Linked DNA regions of Schizosaccharomyces pombe. The protein of the gene in region 1 purifies or fractionates together with the protein of each later gene. This does not show direct contact. Each region holds a gene or a part of one and is shown in the gene's direction. Other genes may lie near its edges. The genes, in order: tor1, wat1, ste20 and sin1.

What was found.
Region 2: the proteins of tor1 (region 1) and wat1 purify together in Schizosaccharomyces pombe (affinity purification with western blotting; 7 studies listed by BioGRID, with this or other methods). This does not show direct contact.
Region 3: the proteins of tor1 (region 1) and ste20 purify together in Schizosaccharomyces pombe (affinity purification with western blotting; 7 studies listed by BioGRID, with this or other methods). This does not show direct contact.
Region 4: the proteins of tor1 (region 1) and sin1 purify together in Schizosaccharomyces pombe (affinity purification with western blotting; 6 studies listed by BioGRID, with this or other methods). This does not show direct contact.

Annotation. Positions count from the first base shown.
Region 1 is NC_003423.3:3,074,085-3,078,768, forward strand, and holds the start of tor1 (TORC2 serine/threonine protein kinase Tor1), read left to right. Parts: upstream 1-1,663; 5' UTR 1,664-1,876; coding exon 1,877-4,684. Other genes in the region: gpi1 (pig-Q), read right to left, coding at 1-865. UniProt on the Schizosaccharomyces pombe protein: Catalytic component of TORC2, which regulates multiple cellular processes to control cell growth in response to environmental signals. In response to signals, TORC2 phosphorylates AGC protein kinase family members.
Region 2 is NC_003423.3:1,661,169-1,664,876, forward strand, and holds wat1 (TORC1/2 complex WD repeat protein Wat1/Lst8), read left to right. Parts: upstream 1-1,772; 5' UTR 1,773-1,778; coding exon 1,779-2,723; 3' UTR 2,724-3,192; downstream 3,193-3,708. Other genes in the region: myosin-binding vezatin family protein Inp2, read left to right, coding at 1-1,221; vacuolar transporter chaperone (VTC) complex, GTPase regulator subunit Nrf1, read left to right, coding at 3,414-3,708. UniProt on the Schizosaccharomyces pombe protein: component of both TORC1 and TORC2, which regulate multiple cellular processes to control cell growth in response to environmental signals. Nutrient limitation and environmental stress signals cause inactivation of TORC1.
Region 3 is NC_003423.3:2,473,857-2,480,992, forward strand, and holds ste20 (target of rapamycin complex 2 subunit ste20), read left to right. Parts: upstream 1-2,022; 5' UTR 2,023-2,282; coding exon 2,283-6,212; 3' UTR 6,213-6,606; downstream 6,607-7,136. Other genes in the region: SPOM_SPBC12C2.03C (methionine synthase reductase), read left to right, coding at 1-1,489; SPOM_SPBC12C2.01C (uncharacterized protein), read left to right, coding at 7,075-7,136. UniProt on the Schizosaccharomyces pombe protein: Component of TORC2, which regulates multiple cellular processes to control cell growth in response to environmental signals. TORC2 is required for cell survival under various stress conditions.
Region 4 is NC_003424.3:4,745,500-4,750,430, reverse strand, and holds sin1 (MAP kinase-interacting protein Sin1), read left to right. Parts: upstream 1-2,003; 5' UTR 2,004-2,142; coding exon 2,143-2,165; intron 2,166-2,208; exon of another isoform or gene 2,209-2,224; coding exon 2,225-4,108; exon of another isoform or gene 4,109-4,147; coding exon 4,148-4,238; 3' UTR 4,239-4,331; downstream 4,332-4,931. Other genes in the region: mid2 (septin ring organizing protein), read left to right, coding at 1-1,292; transcription factor TFIIE subunit Tfa1, read right to left, coding at 4,332-4,931. UniProt on the Schizosaccharomyces pombe protein: Component of the mechanistic target of rapamycin complex 2 (mTORC2), which regulates multiple cellular processes to control cell growth in response to environmental signals.

The DNA of each region.
Region 1 (4,684 bases):
GCCAAAAACACGCTTGTTGCAACCTCAAATCTACTTGACGAGCAGAAACGAAAATATCCATCATATTATAAGATAAAGGAATCGGTCGGTAATTAATCGCCAAGAGTATAACCTCATTAATTATCCTCAATAATATGATAAAGTAAGCAAACAGCGAATTAAAAAAATAAAAGGTTGATGACGAGACACGATCAAAAAGTCGAAAAACATATGAATTTTTTTTGTTATTATTTTCATGTGTTAACATGCGAACCTCGAAGGATTGATTAAGAAGCTCAATTAAGCCTGAGCGTAGACTCCTTTTCCAGCTATTTTCTTTGCGTCGGGGAAAGTGCAATTTCAATTTTTTTAACAGTATTTGCTGGTGTTGCATGCTTTCGTATTCAGGGTTTGACTTGTTAATAAAACTATCTTTTAACAATAAAAGCGATAGAGGTTCAAGGGAAAGAAATTGCATTTTTCTTGGCTGCGGAGGATGATAATAAATTATATGCAGATTTATTTTTAAAGGCGTACTAGCCGAATCGAAAACTCGGGGATGAGAAAGCTCAGTCGATTGCTGCACTTTGATCCAACAATCAATTTCATATTTGTCACCCGGCAAAATATCGGCAGAGCAATTAAACGTGCCTAATATACACAGAGATTTAATATCTACTGATTGATCTTGATTTTTGCAATAATCAACTAAAAAATTAGCGAAGGATTGATAACTAGTAATTGTTGTCACAACGATAAGATCGTTGGTAGAGTACTTCCAACCAACTAAGTAACCAGAATCGGTATAAGAGATCGTACTTTTGGGCCAATATATCCGTTTCACTTCAATTGGAGCCGAAGCTATATTCATGGTTGTGGTAGACATTTGAAATATAATATTGAATGCTCTGAAGTCAATTCCGAAGTGTTTAATAAAAAAGACAAACAAGTAATAACAGACTTTAGAAGCATACAAAAAACTTTTGTTAAGAAAAATATAACAGGAGATGATACTGCTCTCTCCGGTGTTTAGAACTCAAGTTGTAAAATCAAAAACTTCCTCGACGTAAAAGCTGTTCCCTTGCAGAAATGCCACCGCTAACTGACGTTGAGTTACGAGCTTCGGATTCAGCGATTCGTTCTAAAAGAATGAAAATAAAAAATCCTAAAACGGTAAACAGTAGTACGTATGAAGGAACCTTGGTGAAAAGACGGCCACCAGATACAATGTATGCCAAACAAGAATGAATGCGCTTAACTAAAGACAAACTAGAAGTTATATAACCAAATAAAAAAACAAGAGAATAAAGAAAGAAAGGTCTCATGTCTTTAACATCATTTGTTTACAGTATGATAACCGCACGCGTTAGTGGTGTAAGTGTCGGGAAATCAACCAAACAAAGAAAAATAACAGTGGGCTAGCTTGGAAAAACTCAAACAACTTTTTAAAGAATCAAATATTTATGGATTGATTCAGAACTCCTCATAAAAAAAACGTTTAAGCCATGCGCTCGTGCAAAATAAAAATGACGAGCAAATAAAAACGAATTTATTTCTGTGTACAAAAAGTGCTCCATATACTTAAAGGATTATAATGTGCTATGTTATGTTTTTTGAACGATTTCACGTTGGAATACCTTAGAAATTTTGACATGACATTTAATGTCATAAGTTGTTAACTTTTAACCTTTTCCATATCTCGGAGAAGTTACTAAGAAATTATATTAATCTGAACATATATAAAGTTCATTTAATCAAACTGGAAGGCCAATACCTCTCCGGTCAACCTAATACTGAATTGTTTGCTTTCCGTAGACATTGTGATGAATGCCTAAGTGGAAGAATTGAACACCGCGACTATTAGAAAGTCTATCGTTTCACTCGCTCTCTTTGATTCATGGAGTATTTTAGTGATCTAAAAAACAAAAATGAAAGCATTCAACTAGCAGCCGCTGATCAATTAAAAGAATTTGTACATAGTTCTACTAAGGAATTATCAGGTGAATCCCTTGCGCGTTTCAATAACGATATCAATCGTCGAATTTTTGAGCTTATTCATAGCCATGATTCCCACGAAAGATTTGGAGGAATCCTTGCGATAGGCAAGCTAATTGAATTCGAAAGTGAGGGAGATGTTACTAATCTTTCGCGGTATGCAAATTACTTACGAATGACCCTTCCTAGTACGGATTGGCATTCGATGGAACTATCTGCGAAGGTTCTTGGTCATTTGGCTGCGTCTGGTGGTACCCTTGCAGCCGAATTCGTTGAATTTGAAGTTCAGCGTGCTTTCGAGTGGCTTCAAGGAGACCGTCAAGAGCAAAAACGGATGGCGGCTATTTTAATTATTAAGGCTTTAGCACAAAATTCTCCTACCTTAGTTTACTTGTATATTAGTGAAATTTTCCAAAATTTGTGGACTGGATTGCGTGATCCAAAGCCTCTTATTCGGGAAACTGCTGCTGATGCTTTGGGTGCTTCTTTAGACGTGGTTTGTCAAAGAGAAGCTAAAGTTCAATTGCAGTGTTTTAATGAAGTTCTGCTTCAAGCTGAACATGGTTTACGACAGTCGAGTGTGGAATATCTGCATGGAAGTCTTCTCGCATACAAAGAGCTTTTCGAAAAATCTGGCTCTTTTATTCGTGAACATTACACAGAATTTTGTGATTTGGCGCTTCGTTTACGAGAGCATAGAGATAACTCTATCAGACGCTGCATAGTATTTTTACTGCCTACATTGTCTGAATATAACCCCAAAAAATTTCAACAGCGTTATTTAGATTCTTTTATGGTTTACTTACTTTCCCATATCAGGAAAGACAAGGAAAAGTCTTTAGCTTTTGAAGCTATTGGAAGAATAGCCATGGCAGTCAATGAAGCAATGATTCCTTATTTACAGAATATTTTAAAAGTAATAAGGGATACATTGACAGCAAAAGTACGTGAAAAAACGCAATATGAAAAGCCTGTTTTTGAATGCATTGGCATGTTGGCTGCTGCTGTAAAGCTTGAACTCCTTGAAGATTCTCGAAGTCTACTTGGTCTGATTTTTTCTTGCGAACTGAGCGTTCACTTGCGTCAAGCTCTTGTGAAAATGGCAGAAAACATCCCTCCTCTTTTGGCTCCTATTCAAGAACGATTATTGAATATGGTTAGTCAAATTTTGACTGGAAAAAACTTTGAAATTCGTACTAATGACACATATACTCCCAGTTTCACTAATATATACTCTGCTAGGGAACCTGACCAAAGAAGTAAAAGCACGGAATCAATTATTTTGGCTTTAGAAACTTTGGGTACTTTTAATTTTACTGGTTATTCATTAATTAGTTTCATCCAAGAATCTGTCTTATCTTACTTGGAAAATGATAATTCAGAGATCCGTATTGCTGCTGCACGAACTTGCTGTCAGGTTTTTGCCAGAGATCCGATATGTAGAAAAACAAATCCTTTGGCTGTTGAATCAGTCGCTGAGGTGCTTGAAAAGCTATTAACCCTTGGAATTGCAGATAGTGATCCAAAAATTAGGGAAACCGTACTCTCATTACTAGATGAAAGATTTGATCGGCATTTGGCACATCCTGATAATATTCGTTGCTTATTTATCGCTCTGAATGATGAAGTTTTTTCAATCAGAGAAATTGCTATCATTATTATAGGAAGGCTTGCATTGTATAATCCGGCCCATGTGATGCCATCGCTACGAAAAACTATTATTCAGTTATTATCTGACATGGAATATTCGGGTAATAGTCGTCAAAAAGAAGAAAGCGCACAGCTTCTCAAATTACTGGTATCCAAAGCTAGAACACTCATTAAGCCATATATCCAATCGATCATTCATGTAATATTACCGAAAGCAGCAGATACGAGTCCTGGAGTTTCATCTGCCATTATATCAGCTTTAGGTGAACTCGCAAGTGTTGAAGGAGAAGATATGCCTGTGGATGTTCGTGGTTCCTTCATGAAGTTAATACTTGTGAATTTACAGGATCAAAGCTCTACATTGAAGCGACTTGCTTCTCTTAAATGTTTACGAAAACTTTGTGGTCGTTCAGGTTATGTAATTCAGCCATATTTAGATTACCCTCCTTTGTTGGGCGCGCTAATTGGTATTTTGCAATCAGAACAACCAACACCGATAAGAAGAGAAGTACTGAGAACATTAGGTGTGTTAGGTGCTTTAGATCCATATACGTATTTAACTACTGAGGAAGTTTCAGATGATTTACAAAGTAGTCATAATAATGCCCATGGTGTACCTCAAATTAGTGCCGCGCAGTACCCGTCATTGGAAAACTACGCTATGGTTGCTGTTGTCACTTTGATAGGTATTTTAAAAGACAGTTCGCTCTCTATGCATCACTCTTCTGTTGTTCAAGCAGTGATGCATATTTGCTCTCAAATGGGATCTAAATCTACTGTATTTTTACCTCAAGTGGTACCAACGTTTCTACAAGTAATGCAATCCTTATCGGCTTCCTCGGCTGAGTTTTATTTTCAGCAGTTAACGACTTTAACTTCTATTATTGGACCAAACATTAGGGATTATGTATCTGATATTTTTAATCTTTCAAAAGTCTTTTGGGAATCTACCACATCTCTATTGCTAGTTATTCTTGAACTCATCGATGCCATAGCAATTGCACTGCAGGATGAATTTAAATTTTACTTGCCTCAAATATTATCTTGTATGTTGAAAGCA
Region 2 (3,708 bases), 1.4 Mb from region 1:
GACAGCATTCAGTACATTATTTATACATCTGAACTCCTCGTAGGAGATCACGAGCTACAGCGGTCACATCATGAAGAACAGCCTTCTTTGGTTTATCCTTCTTCATCGTTCAGTTCTACGAGCAAGTTTTGGAGATACTTCGCCTATCTGCTGAGCTTACAAATTGTAATAGATTTTGTTTTATACAAATTATCATCTGCAATGGCAAGTCTTCATTATCTAAAGTTTGTGAAGATAATAGCCTTATCTTATATTTGCTTCTCTTCGCTCATACGGATTTGTCATTGCTGGACATATTTTATTCGTATTATGGGATTATCCAGCTTAAATAAGTTTGTCAATCTATTGCATGATTTTGAAACTACATCTAATCGTGTTTACTCCCAAATTTGTGAATTGGAAGCAAATTCGGCAGCAAATCGCTCCCGGTTAATGGACTTCCTTCCTGCCAATGATCCTTTATTGTTTAATCTTACGGAACAAAATACTTTAAGTTACGAACTGTCTGGTTTGTATGAGAAGCTTTTACCTAGATACCAGCTGGTTCTGTCAAGAATATATCCGTATGCAGCTGCTTCCAACCTTAGAAACCTATTATCACTATATAGACTTCCAAATTGCTTTGGTAAATTAAATTCGTTTGACCTCCGAAAAGGTTCCTCAACAAGCTTAAAACGGAGTTCCATGTACCTAGCCCGTAAAGAAAACCAAGACTTTGATGACCAATCCACCCAAATTCTCAATCACATCAAAACTGCTTATTATGAATTAACTATAATCTCTAAGCAAGTTCTATGTTGCATACTATCGTTTCCGGTTGATTCATTTTTAGCTGAAAGGTCTTCATGGCTCATTGTTCACCGGGAGGTAGGTGACCTCTCTAATGCATTGTCTGTGTCGATGGTTCGTCTCGTTGACATCTTAAAGTTTTCAGTTGAATCGGTCAACCGTAATCAACATAACACTACTAGCAAACCTTTCCCCAGGATCATGTGCAAAGAAAATTTGCGCAGTCTTTTTAACGAGTTGCACTCTGTAATGATGGAAACTCATGAGTCTATCAGCTCATATATTCAAGAAGGAGACAATACAGCTATGCAGACATATGCTATGGATGAATATGATCAAGTTGGTTTACTGCTCAAAGATTTGCTCTCTGAATGGGACTTTAATAGAGCACTACTTCTCAACTTGCAACACATGCACCGAAAGCGTAAATAATTTTGGCTTTCAGAATTTTAAACCATATTTTGCTTTTATGATCTTTTTTATCCATTATTGTCCGTTTCTGTTATACGTCTTTCGGAACCTTGTTGGTTTTAATAGTTAGGATAGTTATTATAAACTATTTACAAATCGACATTTATCTAGGTTTAAATGTCGTTCAACTCAGCAATGATGTCTTTGTTGCTTAAAAATTTGCCTTAACCTTTCGTCCTGTATAATATTTTAGTTATACCAGTTTATCTTTACACTTATGCTTATGCTACTTATTGCAGGCGCAATTTTTTAAAAAATTAAATTAACATGAATTTACTATTATTCTATGAATTTTCCTGTTTTTATGGTCAAAACTGTTAAATTTTTTAAAGTTTTGATGGCTGTAGATTTAAAGTATAGATCGCCAATCGTGCGTTTACAAGTCATGCTACAAAAAATTTACTAAATATATAATATAAACATATTTAATTGATTTTAAAAATTTTCAGTCATTAATTCTCTCTGTATTCGAGTTTGTTTAATAACTACAGTATAACAGCGCTCCATTCTTTAACCACATGTCAGTACAGTATCCACCACAACATTCTGTTCTGCTCGTCAGCAGTGGATATGACCATACCATTAGATTTTGGGAAGCCCTAAGTGGAATATGCTCGAGAACAATACAACATGCGGACTCTCAGGTAAATCGTTTATGTATTTCACCTGATAAGAAGTTTCTAGCAGCCGCCGGAAATCCTCATGTAAGATTGTACGACATAAACACTAGTAGTCAAATGCCATTAATGACCTTTGAAGGGCACACCAATAATGTTACAGCCATCGCTTTTCATTGTGATGGTAAATGGCTTGCCACATCGAGCGAGGATGGAACAGTAAAGGTGTGGGATATGAGAGCCCCTTCAGTTCAGCGAAACTATGATCATAAATCTCCTGTTAATGACTTGTTAATTCATCCAAATCAAGGTGAACTGCTTTCATGCGACCAAAGTGGACGAGTTCGTGCATGGGATTTAGGAGAGAATTCTTGTACACACGAACTTATTCCGGAAGAAGATGTACCTATGAGCAGCATTACTGTTGGATCTGATGGTAGTATGCTTATTGCTGGGAACAACAAAGGAAACTGCTACGTTTGGCGAATGCTAAATCATCAGGGTGCTTCATTGCTTCAGCCCGTTGTCAAATTTCAAGCTCATCAGCGTTATATCACTCGCTGCGTCTTGTCTCCTGATGTCAAACACCTTGCTACATGTTCTGCCGATGCTACAGTGAATATATGGAGTACGGAGGATATGTCATTTATGCTTGAGAGACGACTTCAAGGGCATCAAAGATGGGTTTGGGATTGTGCGTTTTCTGCTGATTCTACCTACTTAGTAACCGCATCTTCTGATCATGTTGCAAGGCTTTGGGAGTTATCGAGTGGTGAAACAATCCGTCAGTATTCGGGTCATCACAAAGCTGCTGTTTGTGTTGCTCTTAATGACTACCAAATTTAAGTGTTTCAAAGCATTTTTCAAAATAAGTTTACGAGTTATGTTTTGTTGTATTTTTAGCTCAACTGATGTTGGAAAATTACTTCTATATATTCAAGTTTATTACACGCCTTTATCCTATTTTACCTTTGCTATATAGATTTTATTCACCAATCTTCTTAGGAAAACAAGAGTCTTGTCTTGTCAACATTCGTTTATATTAAGTGTGTCTGATTTCAAGACGATTTCTTAGTCACTTACAAATTTTTTATAAATTATATTCTTCCCTTGATACAGTATTTGCTAGTTTCATATCTCGGAGTTTTTATGATAAATAATAGTCTTAAGTGATGATAACTTTTGAAAATTTTCAATGCTTATTAGTGTAGTTTAACTTATTTTACAACTTTTATCTCTAAACATGATAGGATTAAGTAGGAAAAGTTACATATCCTCGTGTCCTTAAATGAAATGAAATGTATATCTTCATTAGCTTTCTGGTTAGCGAAGAAGCGAATTTGATAATGCAAAATTTGAAGAATTTAGTCTCGCTAAATCTGCTAATTAACTTACCGAGACTTACCGTAGTAAGATACGAAAAAAATTTCTAGGCCGTTCGACACAGCTGACCTTAACCACAACTCACAGCCAGCACATACTTAATCTCGCGAGGAGAAAAAACCTTCGATTTATAGCTCACTCTTTCCACTAACAATGTCTACTCAACCTCTTTTACAAACTACTCCTGGTAAAAGAATTGCTCTTCCTGTTCGTGTTGAACCTAAAGTTTTTTTCGCTAATGAACGTACTTTCCTTTCTTGGTTGAGCTTTGCAGTAGTTTTGGGTGGTTTGTCAGTTGGTTTACTTAACTTTGGTGATCGAATTGGTAAGATTAGTGCAGGACTTTTCACTATTGTTGCTATTGGTACCATGGGTTATGCTCTTGGTATTTACCACTGGAGAGCATCTGCTATTCGACGACGCGGAAGTGGTCCTTACGATGATCGAT
Region 3 (7,136 bases), 600 kb from region 1:
CATGGATCTAGGTCTTCTACATGAAAATATTACTCTTGACAGAATTCCCAAAGTTCCCGAGAATCATGTCTCTTTGATTGATATCGATGAGGCTCGTGCCAAAGAAGACCCCAACTTTCAAATTCATTCAACTCCTTCTAGAATGCCTCCTCACTATGTTCAACCACACCCTCCGTTCAGTGTCTTTCCCGCCCCTATACTAGACGTTCGTGAGCTCACTAAACCAGGTGCTGTCAAACGTGTGTTCCATTTTGAACTAGACGTTTCCAACTATCCCCTTCCTGAAGGCGAAGAGTGGATGGTTGGAGGGTCGTTTGGTGTAATGGCTCCCAACAACGAAGAGGATGTGGATGAGCTTTTACAATTACTTCATATCAATCCCGACCAGGCAGATGCCCCTGTCCTTTTAAAAACCGATGGAGGTCGTTGGCCCACCATCTGGGCAGAAGACACACCTAGAGAACTCGTTACAACCAGGCGTGAGCTTCTTAAATGGACCGTGGAGTTTATGTCTGTCGCCCCAAAAAAGCAGCTTATTCGGTTACTTGCCGAATACGCCAAGGATGATACCGAGCGGCAAGTTTTGTTGTTTTTGGTCAGTCGTTTGGGACAACGTGCTTTCTGTGATTTAAGGGACCACAACGTTACACTTATCACTCTGCTAAAGGCTTTCCCTAGTGTTCAACTTCCTCTTGATCACCTTTTAACCGTGCTTCCCCAGCTTATGCCTAGATGGTATTCTTTGTCAAACGATCCCAAGGTCAGTAATAATGTATTGGAATTTGCGGTTACAGTTGTTGAAATCAATAAAGTTGAAGGAGGCACTCGTTCTGGTATTGGTTCTGGTTTTTTGAAAAGATTGGCATTGAGATTTTTAAATGGTGAACGAGATCTCGTCCTTCCAATGTACCGCGGTCTGCACAAAAACGCATTTGCCACACATTTTGCTTCTGATGGCCCTATGTGCCTAATCGGTGCCGGTGTAGGTGTTGCTCCCTTTAGAGGTTTTGTGCAACGACGTCTTACAAATGCCACTTGTGCTGGTAAAGTTTGGGTTTTCCATGGATGCCGCGACCAAGAATTGGATGAGCTCTATCATGGTGAGTGGGAAAACCCGCTTCAAAAGTCTTCAGACGATGATGCATCTTCTACAGTCAGCCAACAAACCGAAACTGAAATGGATTCCTTCGAAGTTAAAAAAGACGGTACTAGTGGCCCCAACCATCTTGTTGTTGAATCACGTTCTCACCAACATGCCTATGTACAGGACGAGATTCGACACCGTGGTGACATTGTATGGAGTGTTCTTAGTCATCCTCATGGGAAGGTTTATCTTTGTGGTGGTAAAAAGGGATTTTTAGATGGTGTTGAAAATGCCTTGATTGATGTTTGCGTTCAATACGGAAAAATGAGCAGGCTGGAAGCTACCCAACAACTTGCTCTTTGGCAAAGTCCACTTAACCTTAAATACATAAAGGAGATTTGGTAAATGAATGAAGTTGTTTATCCACGTTACCAATATTTATTTTTTCGTTAAAATTTTTTTTTTGTTTACTATCTTTTCACATTATTTTCGATTCTTTTCTGTCTTTTTTATTATCGTTTCGTTTTAAAAAAATCTTTTTTGAAATGTTTCGAAAGCAATATTTGTATCTCAAAATGGCATTTTAATTCTATATTGGCTTGGGCATATCTGTTAAAACATTTTTTGTTTAGCCTTTTGTTTCCATAAATAAAAATATAAACAAATTTTAATAGTTGATTGTAGTAATATAATTTACTCATCTTATTCTCTTGCTTTGATTTATCCTTCATGTTTTCGTATACTGTTAACTAGCAATCTTGAGACTGTAAAGTAAACATTAAGGATTCGATTCTTTAGTGAACCAGTACCTAGTATCTAATTATTTATTAGCGAATTCTAAGGAAATTTGTTTTGCCCATTAATAGCGAAACATCACTCCATGTCGTACAATCGTTAACGCCGGTAACAGAACTCCGATTAAGTTCAGCCGTTGGGGTATCCATGAGCATACGAGCATAGTTCGCAAGCATTATCATTTTAGGACTCTTCACAATCTTAAGTTATTATTTAAGTGTTAATATCTTTAATTTTACTAGATTGCTTAAAAATTGAGAGTTTGACTAGCCCAGTAAGCAATCGCGTGTTGCACGCAATAAGTATTAGTACGAAAACATACTATCCCTTTATAAGGCTATTTCATGAAGGCGCTTATGGAAGGAGATAGCTTTTTTATTCCTGCTTTTAATGATCAGTGCTCATGAAACCTGTGCGAAGGGGACAAACCGATACTGCTTTGGATATAAGTTCCCATGCCAAAACTAATGGTGACTTTATCAAAAAAATGAATACCACTGATTCAAAAAGGCTCAAGTTACTTGAGGATTTGAAGGGAAAGCTCGAAGTTGAGTGCAAAATACGGGATGGCGCTGAAACGTTGCTGCAAGTCTTCGACACCAATTTTAAAAAAGAAACAAAAGAACGTAAAGAAATGTTAAAAAAGAAATGTACCGATGAGCTCGAATCATCTAAAAAAAAGATAGAGGAATTAGTTTCTAGCATTGAATCTTTCCAAGGAGAAAATGGTGAAGCAAAAACTGGCTCAACCAGTCTCACGAGGTCTGCTTCTGCGACTGTCAGTCGAAAGAGCTCATTGCAGGAAAAGTATAGTACGAGATTTTCTTACAAAGCAGGATGTAGCGATAGTTGCAGTGTTACAGTCAGTGGGACTGGTGAATTAATAGGTCCTACCAGAAATGCGCATAGCAATTTAACTCCTACCGTCATTCAAAGAATTGACTTTGAAAATGTCAACGAAAAAAATAATTCTTCTTCTGAAGATACTCAACCTAACGGAAAACGTCCTTCTAGTTTGCAATCGAATTTCTCACAATTTCCATTAAATCCTTGGCTTGATAATATATATAAGGCTTGTCTTGAAGGCAGTATGAAGGATGTAATCGATTCCTCAAATAATTTATGTGAATACTTACATGAACATTCTGATCCCGCTTATGCAAAAAACTTCTCCTTGATTACTCCGACCATACTTTCAATGCTCGAGTTGAATGTCTCTGAAGTTACGGCTTCTGTTTATAGACTACTAAGGCATTTGTTTCTTGACGCAACAGCATTCTCTTGTTGTCAAATGTTGAATTTACCTTGGATCTTGTCAAAGTCTCTACTTTCTGGTACCGATGCATATCAAATTGAACGAGAGCAAGCATTCCGACTAATCCGAACTCTTTATTTTCTTTCATCAACTGAAGGACATGAGGATTATCTTTCAGGTATTACGAGGACTATCATTTCAATTTGTGAGCATGTATCAGATGTTAGTCGTGGAATTGCTGTTGAAACTCTTATCGAGTTAATGATTATTCGACCAAAAATTTTATTTAAAGCTAATGGTTTAAGGGTTTTAATGATCTCCCTAATCGATGGAAGTATTTCTGAGAATTTAGCAGCTAGTGCTGCACTTGCATTAGTATATCTTTTGGATGATCCTGAAAGCGCTTGTTACGTAAATTTACCCTACGATATTGGCATTTTACTTTCACCTTTTACTAGTTCTTCTTCGCGAGATACATTTAATTCCTCTGAGGAACAGTCTGAACAAGCTGCAAAAGCCATGAAATCTTCCGCCAAAGTTGCCTCTGTTTTGCTTAATTCATGGTCTGGATTATTGGCTTTGTCTACCAATGATTTTCAGGCTCTTCGGTCGATTGTTGATACACTTCGGGTTCCATCCTTTGCTCCACGAAGCGATGTAATTGATCTTTTCTTTTTAATTTTCCAAGTTGAGTATTCAAGTTGGTCAGAGTCTTTTTTGGCCGGAAAACGATTAACAGTCGTTAAAAATCAGGCTGTATCTAATGATGATAACATAAACATGGTTAATATACCGGATGGTTCCAACAAAAAGTACATGTCGCTACGCCAACATTTTACAGCCGTCTTATTATTTATATTTTTGGAGCTCGGTTTGGTTGAATCTATTGTATGTATGATTAGGGCCAGCGATGACCCATCAGCCTCACGTAAAGCTACATATCTTCTAGGAGAGGTATTGAGGCTGTCTGATGAGCTACTGCCGATTCATTTAGGAGCCAAAATACAATCCTTGCCATCTTTATTTAATATGGCTTCTCAATTTACTGCCGAAGACAGGTTTGTTGCCACTTCTGTTCTTCAATCCATTGAAAGTTTGAATAGAGTTAAATTCCATTCTGCAACACAACCTTTCTCGCAGACAACCTCTCTTCTTTTTAAGGAGCAAAAAACTGATGGATCTTTTCGGGGGCAAAGACAGGTTGAGCATGTTAAATTGAAAATGGGCATGCAGATTGATGATTCACATTTTCGTAGTATGCTAGCTGAAACCAACGTGTTAGCTACAAAAAACTATCAAAAATGGCGATGGGATACACTTGTCCAAATTATGGAGGGTCCATTGCTAAGTCCGAAACGTATTGATGAAACTTTGCGAACCACAAAATTTATGAGACGGCTTTTAGCATTTTATAAACCCTTTTCCAACAGATTTTCTTCCATACAAAACACTAAACCAAATCAAAAATTTATAAAGGTTGGTTGTCTTGTTTTCAGGACTTTACTAGCCAATCCGGAAGGCGTTAAATATCTTTCTGAAAGCAAAGTGATTAAACAAATAGCAGAATCTCTTAGCCAGATAGACGGATATTCAGAACAGGTTTCTGAGCCGATTTTCTCGAACAGTAGGCTTCAGAAAACCCTCACCCACGGTTACTTTCCTATGTTAAAAGTATTGTCAAGCCAAAAGGAAGGTCATGCAATTATGGAACGATGGAGGATTTTTACTACACTTTACCATTTGACAGAATTGAGGAACAGAGACGATCTCATAATTATTTTTCTGACTAATCTTGATTATCGGCTAGAGGGGCACACACGAATTATATTTTCTAAGGCGCTTAATACCGGGCAACAGGCTGTACGCTTAACTGCAACCAAGCATCTTGCGGCTTTAATCAATTCTGAGTCTGCCAATGACAACTTAAATCACTGGGCAATTTCTCTATTGATATTTCAACTGTACGATCCTTGCTTGGAAGTATGTAAAACAGCAGTGAAGGTGTTGAATGAAGTTTGTGCTCGAAATGAAAACTTGCTGGCTCAAGTTGTTCAGCTTCAACCTTCATTGGCCCATTTGGGTGAAATTGGCTCACCTTTACTTTTACGTTTTCTTGCTACAACTGTCGGATTTCATTACCTTTCTGAAATTAATTTTATTGAACATGAACTCGATAATTGGTACCATCATCGAAATATAGATTACGTGGATTTATTGGAGCAAAATTTTTTCCTTTCTTTTGTTTCAAATCTCAAAATTATTGACAAGAAAAACAATGAACCAGATGAAAATATACTTCCCCTACACTTTTATGGCGAATTAGTCAAATCTCCACAAGGTTGTGAGGTTCTCGAGTCTTCTGGGCATTTTGAATCTTTTATGGGTACCTTGGTGGAATTTTACGATAAACCGTTAGGAAATGAAGCCATCAGGCAGTTAAAGAGTGCTCTTTGGGCTATAGGAAACATTGGAAAAACCGATCAGGGTATTACGTTTTTAATTAACCATGATACGATACCGTTGATTGTCAAATATGCCGAAAATTCATTGATTCCTACTGTTCGAGGAACTGCTTATTTTGTATTAGGCTTGATTTCCAGGACTTCTAAAGGCGTTGAGATACTCGAATCACTGCATTGGTATAGCCTTATGTCTTTAATGGGCACTTCACAAGGAATTTGCATTCCGAGACATGCTGGACAAGTATTATCAACTCCAAGGAGAAATGTTGAGTTTGTAAATGAGCGCGTGCCAACTCCTGAGTTTTCTTCATTACTTAGCTCTTTAACTAACTCAGAGAGAGAGGTAATTAGGCTCGTTTCCAATTTGTCAAACCATGTTTTAACAAACGAGTCAGCACGGCAACTAACAAAGATTCGTTCGAAAAATGCTAAAGTTTTCTCCTCTAAACGTTTGGTGAAAGCTTGTATGACCATTCTGGGAAAATTCCATTACCGTGTTCAGATTCAACAATTTGTATTTGAATTATTTCCTTACTCGGTTTTATTGTCTTCCTCAACCTCACAGGACTTAAATGAATCCCCGTCCAGGCCGAATAATTTGTCAATTTCCGCATGAACTCCAAATTTCCGAACCTTCACTTTTCTAAAATTTTTGTAAATTAATGATTTTTATGATTTCTTATTATCGTTTTTCTTCTGTTATTCAATAAGTTTGATCTTTAGTTTTCTGCTTATTCTTTGACCTTCCCTCTTTGTTTCTTTTCATAAGTTTATTTACTAAGTTAGACTAGTGTTTACATAAAAGGTGATTGCGCTAGGGTTAGTAATGAGTTTATAATTGTTTTTGGATGTTTAAATTATTAATCTAATATTTATAAGACATGTCTGATACTTGCGGATATTTTTTTGAATTTGTGTAGTTTAGGTAGGCCTGCTTAGCCCCTGGCCTCCATACGATAGTAATATGAACAAGAATATATTGCCTTTCATCTTTTCGTGCTAATTTTTACTTTGTACGCTGTTATTATCAATATAAAAATTGCGTACCACAAAGGTGTACTTATATGTAATACCCATGCTTAGCAAGTTATGCTCAACTTCCACATACAACGTATGCAACGAACGGCAGCCTCATGTTATAGTAAATTAGCAAATCCTATATAACTAAACGAAAGTGTATTTGCTTAACATATCGTGGAGTTTGGGCATATTTCTGCTCACAAGTAAATCTCATACAACATCGCATTTGGTTTTAATTTGTTTTGGTTGTTCGCAAGGAAGAAGATTATTCTTTAAAAAAAAGGAAATAAATTTATAAATATAATTTGAAAAAAAATATATATATATATATTTGGGTTTTTACACTCTTTTGACTACATAACTCGATAGGTTTTCGGATTTGTTTAATAGACAAAAGAAGGAAGTACGTTTAAGGGTTTATTTCTATGGAACATTATTGATTTTTTTTTTTTCTTGCTATGTACAATGTGACATACAGGTTACTTCGTCTAAGCTTGATTTCTTCTCATTCTTTAAGAAA
Region 4 (4,931 bases), on another chromosome or scaffold:
GGACTGATATCTACCGTTCAGATTCTATTCATGAATACGAAGAGCCACTTACGAGCTCCATCACCTCTTTAGATTCCCCTCATGTTCTTGACGAAAATGCTCCGATACCGCTTCTTCCAAAAGTGGTTTCTTTACCAGATCCTCGCTTTACAAATGTTCTTTCAGCCTTTGACGCTTTGACTAGGACATATTTGCTACGACAGAATTCTAAAGTTGTACATGCCACTAGTCAGAAACAAGAAATGCAAACTTCGCGGCGCGTTGTCAATTCTTGTTATATGCCAGAATCGTTATCGCGAAATTTGTCCAGTAGTTTGCAACAAACCGGCGGGAGTGGAAGATTGTTTGTCCGTCTTATGGAAATCAGAAACTTAACTATTCCTTTGGCATCGGGGATGACCACTAGGTTCACTTATACAATCTCTGGTAAGCACATTCAAGTACCATGGAACGCCTTACACTCTACTACTAAAATTGAAAATGAGTATACTTTTGATGAAAGTATTAGTTCTTCAATTGTATGTACGCTCCGTGCGGCTTACGATCCACCTAAGGTTCGCACTCGTTCTACACTTGGAAAAGTATTTTCAACAAATAAGAGAAAGTCTATGACTACCGACCCCGTTTCAGAAGCACTTCATGGATTTGTTTCTGAAGATGGAACTTTCGGCGAAGTTACCATTAACACTGATTCTGTAAGCCGAACCGCACTAGGCCGTTGTCAATCTATGGTTCTACCAATCATGAACAAATGGACTGTTGATCCGGCAGCTAAAGATGTCAAGCCTCTCCCTCGAAAAGTAGGAGAACTCGAAATCCACGTATTTTTCTTACCAGCGCTTCCTGTCTCTCTGAAAGAACTTCCCGCTTCAATCGAGTCTGCCATGTATGACTTAAAGCTTGCTGAATGGGATAGAACTTTATTGTGTGATGGTTATCTATGTCAACAAGGTGGGGATTGCCCTTATTGGCGTCGTCGCTATTTTCAATTAATAGGATCAAAGTTAGTAGCTTTTCAACAATTCTCTAAAGTTCGCAGAGCAACGATTGATTTGTCTGAAGCCACACATATCGTGGATGACAACCATTATAGTGATGAAGAAGAACTAGAAGGGTATCTGTATTTCGAATCGGGTTTCCGTATCATTTTCAGTAATGGGGACTACATCGATTTTTACGCTGAAACCGTCGGCGAAAAAGATGAGTGGATGTCTACACTTCGTCAGCATTTGGGGCAATGTTCAATGGTTCACAAAAATTGGACCAAATCATTTCTTTCGCTGAGTTTTTAAATTGACCATTTGCTTCGACCTCACTTTTTCTATTTAAATCACATTTGGTCTTTATCTTCTCCTTTATCTATATCGTCTTGCATTTTTCATTGGTTTTGTTGTTTCCCTCGCATAATACATAATGTTCATTTTATCTACCATCGAGAAGCTAGATTCGGTTGAAATGAGCTCGTTTTATATAAGCTGTTAAAAATCGGATAGCAATTACTTACTACTCCCCATGTATATTTATACTTCAGTTGCAAAATACTTCATTTTTGAAAGTTTCCCTTGATCCGAAGAAACGTTGTCAAAATAAGTTGTCTCAAAACGTTTATCTTGGCTTTGTAAATAAATCAAATTCCTTAAAATACTCTAGCTTGGCGTTGTCGAGTGAATTTATTAAGTCGTAAGCTTGCCATTTGAGAAACTTCAAAAAATAAAAATTCCACAATAATTTAATTACATTATTCTGTAAATAATTAATACCGTAATTGCTATATAGTTCAAATACCATTTTTAGCTGTTTCGCAATATCTAAAACGTATATGAGATCACTTTTTTTCATTGTCTAGCGTTTTTGTACTTCAGTTAATAACTGTTTGAATTAATAGTTTCGTTCATATTTTGCTGTCTTTTGAAATTTGGTGGTACTTTACGGTGTTACCCCCAACACTTAATTAAATGCTTAGCGGGGGATACATAGCAACTGAAATAAAGCACGCGGCGTCCGTCACCAACGTTTCACATAATTGAGTTTACAAATTTTCTATATTAAGGTGCCATAAAAAGTATGGTCGCTAAGTATTCAAACTTCGTTGAAATTAAATATTTTATAAAGTCTGTAAATGCGATATAATAAGGACTCAGAATGGAATTAACAAGAGAGAAAGTGTAAGGATACTATTTTTTTTCCTATGAAACTTATACAAACTAATACGTTTATTTTACAGTCTTTTGTTAACATTTTTGCGAATGCAATATTCTCATATACTTCCTGACTCAATCGAAAATCGAGTTATATCTACTGAGGCCCCGGAATGGGAATTGGACAAATCATTGCAAGACTTGTTGATTCATGATTATGATTATTCTAAAACTTCGTTTTCTTCAAGTCCCCCGATTGTCGCTAATGACACTGTATCCAATGTCCGAAAGCCGAGTGATACTAAACAAGTAAATGGTGCTGGGGGTCAAGTTAATCATTCTCGAGCTGAAGATTCTGATTATGCTACTTCTGACTTATCCGAATCTTCAGATGTGGGTGATGACGATAACTCGTGTATATTTTCTTTTAGCAAAGTCCCAATGCAGAAGGATGTTGCAAGTATAAAAGAAGAGGAAAGACTGGACCCCAAAATTTCCACATTAAATAATATTGATGCTATCGCAAATCTTAAGCTTACCAACATGGTAGAATCCTCGCAGGCAGTGAATTTAACCTCGTCCAAACAGTCTTCCATAAACCAGCAAAGCAGTGTTTCTACGGATTATGATGATCTACGGTCGATTTCTGAGGAATCATTTCATTTAAGTCAAGGAGAAATTCCTCTTACTTTTCCAATGAATTCTTCCTTAACTGACACTGAAGCTGATGCAGTTGTTGCGGTTGATGCTCTTTTTCCTGGTAAGCAACGCGGAACACACAATACAGTCAATAAAGCAAGATCTGTTTCGAACGCAAAGGCTCCTACATCTGCTCTTCGTGCATTACTTGAACATAAAGAAAACAGTAGCCAGAATGGGCCATTGGCTGAAAATTTTGCTACTTTTTCTGGACATGCAGAATCAAATGCCCTCCGTTTAAACATTTATTTTCCTTCGAGCGAAAGTCCTTCAAAGCCCTTATTTGTAGAACTCCGAAAGAATGTTTTGGTCTCTGAGGCTATCGGTTATATTTTACTTCAATACGTTAACCAGCAACTCGTGCCCCCAATAGAAGATGAGGCTCAAAATCCGAATTATTGGAATTTACGTATTGTTGAAGATGACGGGGAGCTAGATGAAGATTTTCCCGCTTTGGACCGTGTAGGTCCATTATCAAAATTTGGTTTTGACGCATTTGCTTTAGTTAAAGCCACTCCTGCCCAAATAAAGGAAAATCAAGCTGCCTACCCGTTTAAATCGAAGCATCCAACATCAATTCCTGAAGCCAATAACAAAACGCATATTCGGCATACTAGTTCAACTTCAAGTCAATCACAAAAGCAAGCTCAGGATGTCAAAGATACACTTAATACTTCTCATGTCGTACAGGTACGACTTCCCCCATACGGGGATAATGCTCGATTTTGCAATATTGAAATATCAAAAACTACTAGATTGGCTATGGTGTTGAACCAGGTGTGTTGGATGAAGCAATTGGAGCGATTTAAGTATACTCTGCGAGTTGCTGGATCTGATACTGTTTTACCACTTGATAAAACATTTAGTTCACTAGACGGAAATCCAACTCTAGAACTTGTTAAAAAGAAGGTACGCGATAAAAAAGGAAGTACCCAACAATTGCCAACCTCCTCACCACAAAATTCCGTTTATGGATCTATTAAGAAAGATGCACAATCTTCAACATACAATGCAACAGATATTATGTCGAGCAATACCTATCAAGAATTTCTTGTATGGAAACGACAACCTGTTTCATTTATGGGAAGACATGAGCGTCTACTAGCTATTGATGGAGAATACGTTCACATAATGCCGTCTGAATCCAAAAATATATTTGAAACGCCTAAGACGTCCAGTATACATGCTGGATCGATTATTTTATGCAAGCAGTCTAAAAAATCACCATGTAATTTTAAAATGATTGTGTCCAAGAATAGGGAAACTAAGCGGTAAGAAATTTTTTAACGCTAATAAGCTAACGAGTTCAGGTATGATTTTGAAGTTTTGTCCGCCTTGGAAGCTGCCATTATAGTTAGCAGGATACGTGCACTGATGAATACTGTTAAAAAAATAAATTAACATTTATTTATTACAAAAAGATTCTATGAATACATAGGTATAAACACCTTTGTTTTTTGGTATCACATTGCTCTCTCCCCTATGTCATTTTTATTAAACATCTTCAAAATCAGCTTCATCTTCATCGTCTTCATCGTCCTCATTAAATCCATTAATAATAACATTCTTTTTACTTTCTTGCATTTCCGTATCACCATCAGTAATACCATTTGTAGAAACAATAGGTGGTAATGAATTGTTTTCTTCTATCGATTTTGTTCTTTTATTTTGGATATCACTATCTGAATTTAGGTTCTCGGTTTTACGCTTGACCGACCCATAATCAGTACTTTTGTTTTGAAGAGAGGTAGCCGTCGTAACGTCTAAGAAGTCATCATCCTCCTCATCATCTACGTTTTCACTGTCCATAAACTCGCTTTCCTCTTTTTGCTTTGCACGAAGTGTTGCGTAATAAGCATCTAAGGCGCTCTTTTCAGAAGTAATATCTGTTTTAGTGTCTTGAACCTCATTAACAGTTTCAGTTCTAAAACTATGAAGTGCGGCATCTTTAGCTCCAGCACGAGTAATGGAGCCAGAAATTGTTGATGTTGCATGCCATTCGGGAAGAATGTTTTGAGCAGCTTTGACTTGCTTGTCGCAATTCCTTTCACGCTTTTCATCAGTCTCTTTATCAGCAGAGAAATCAACTGTAAT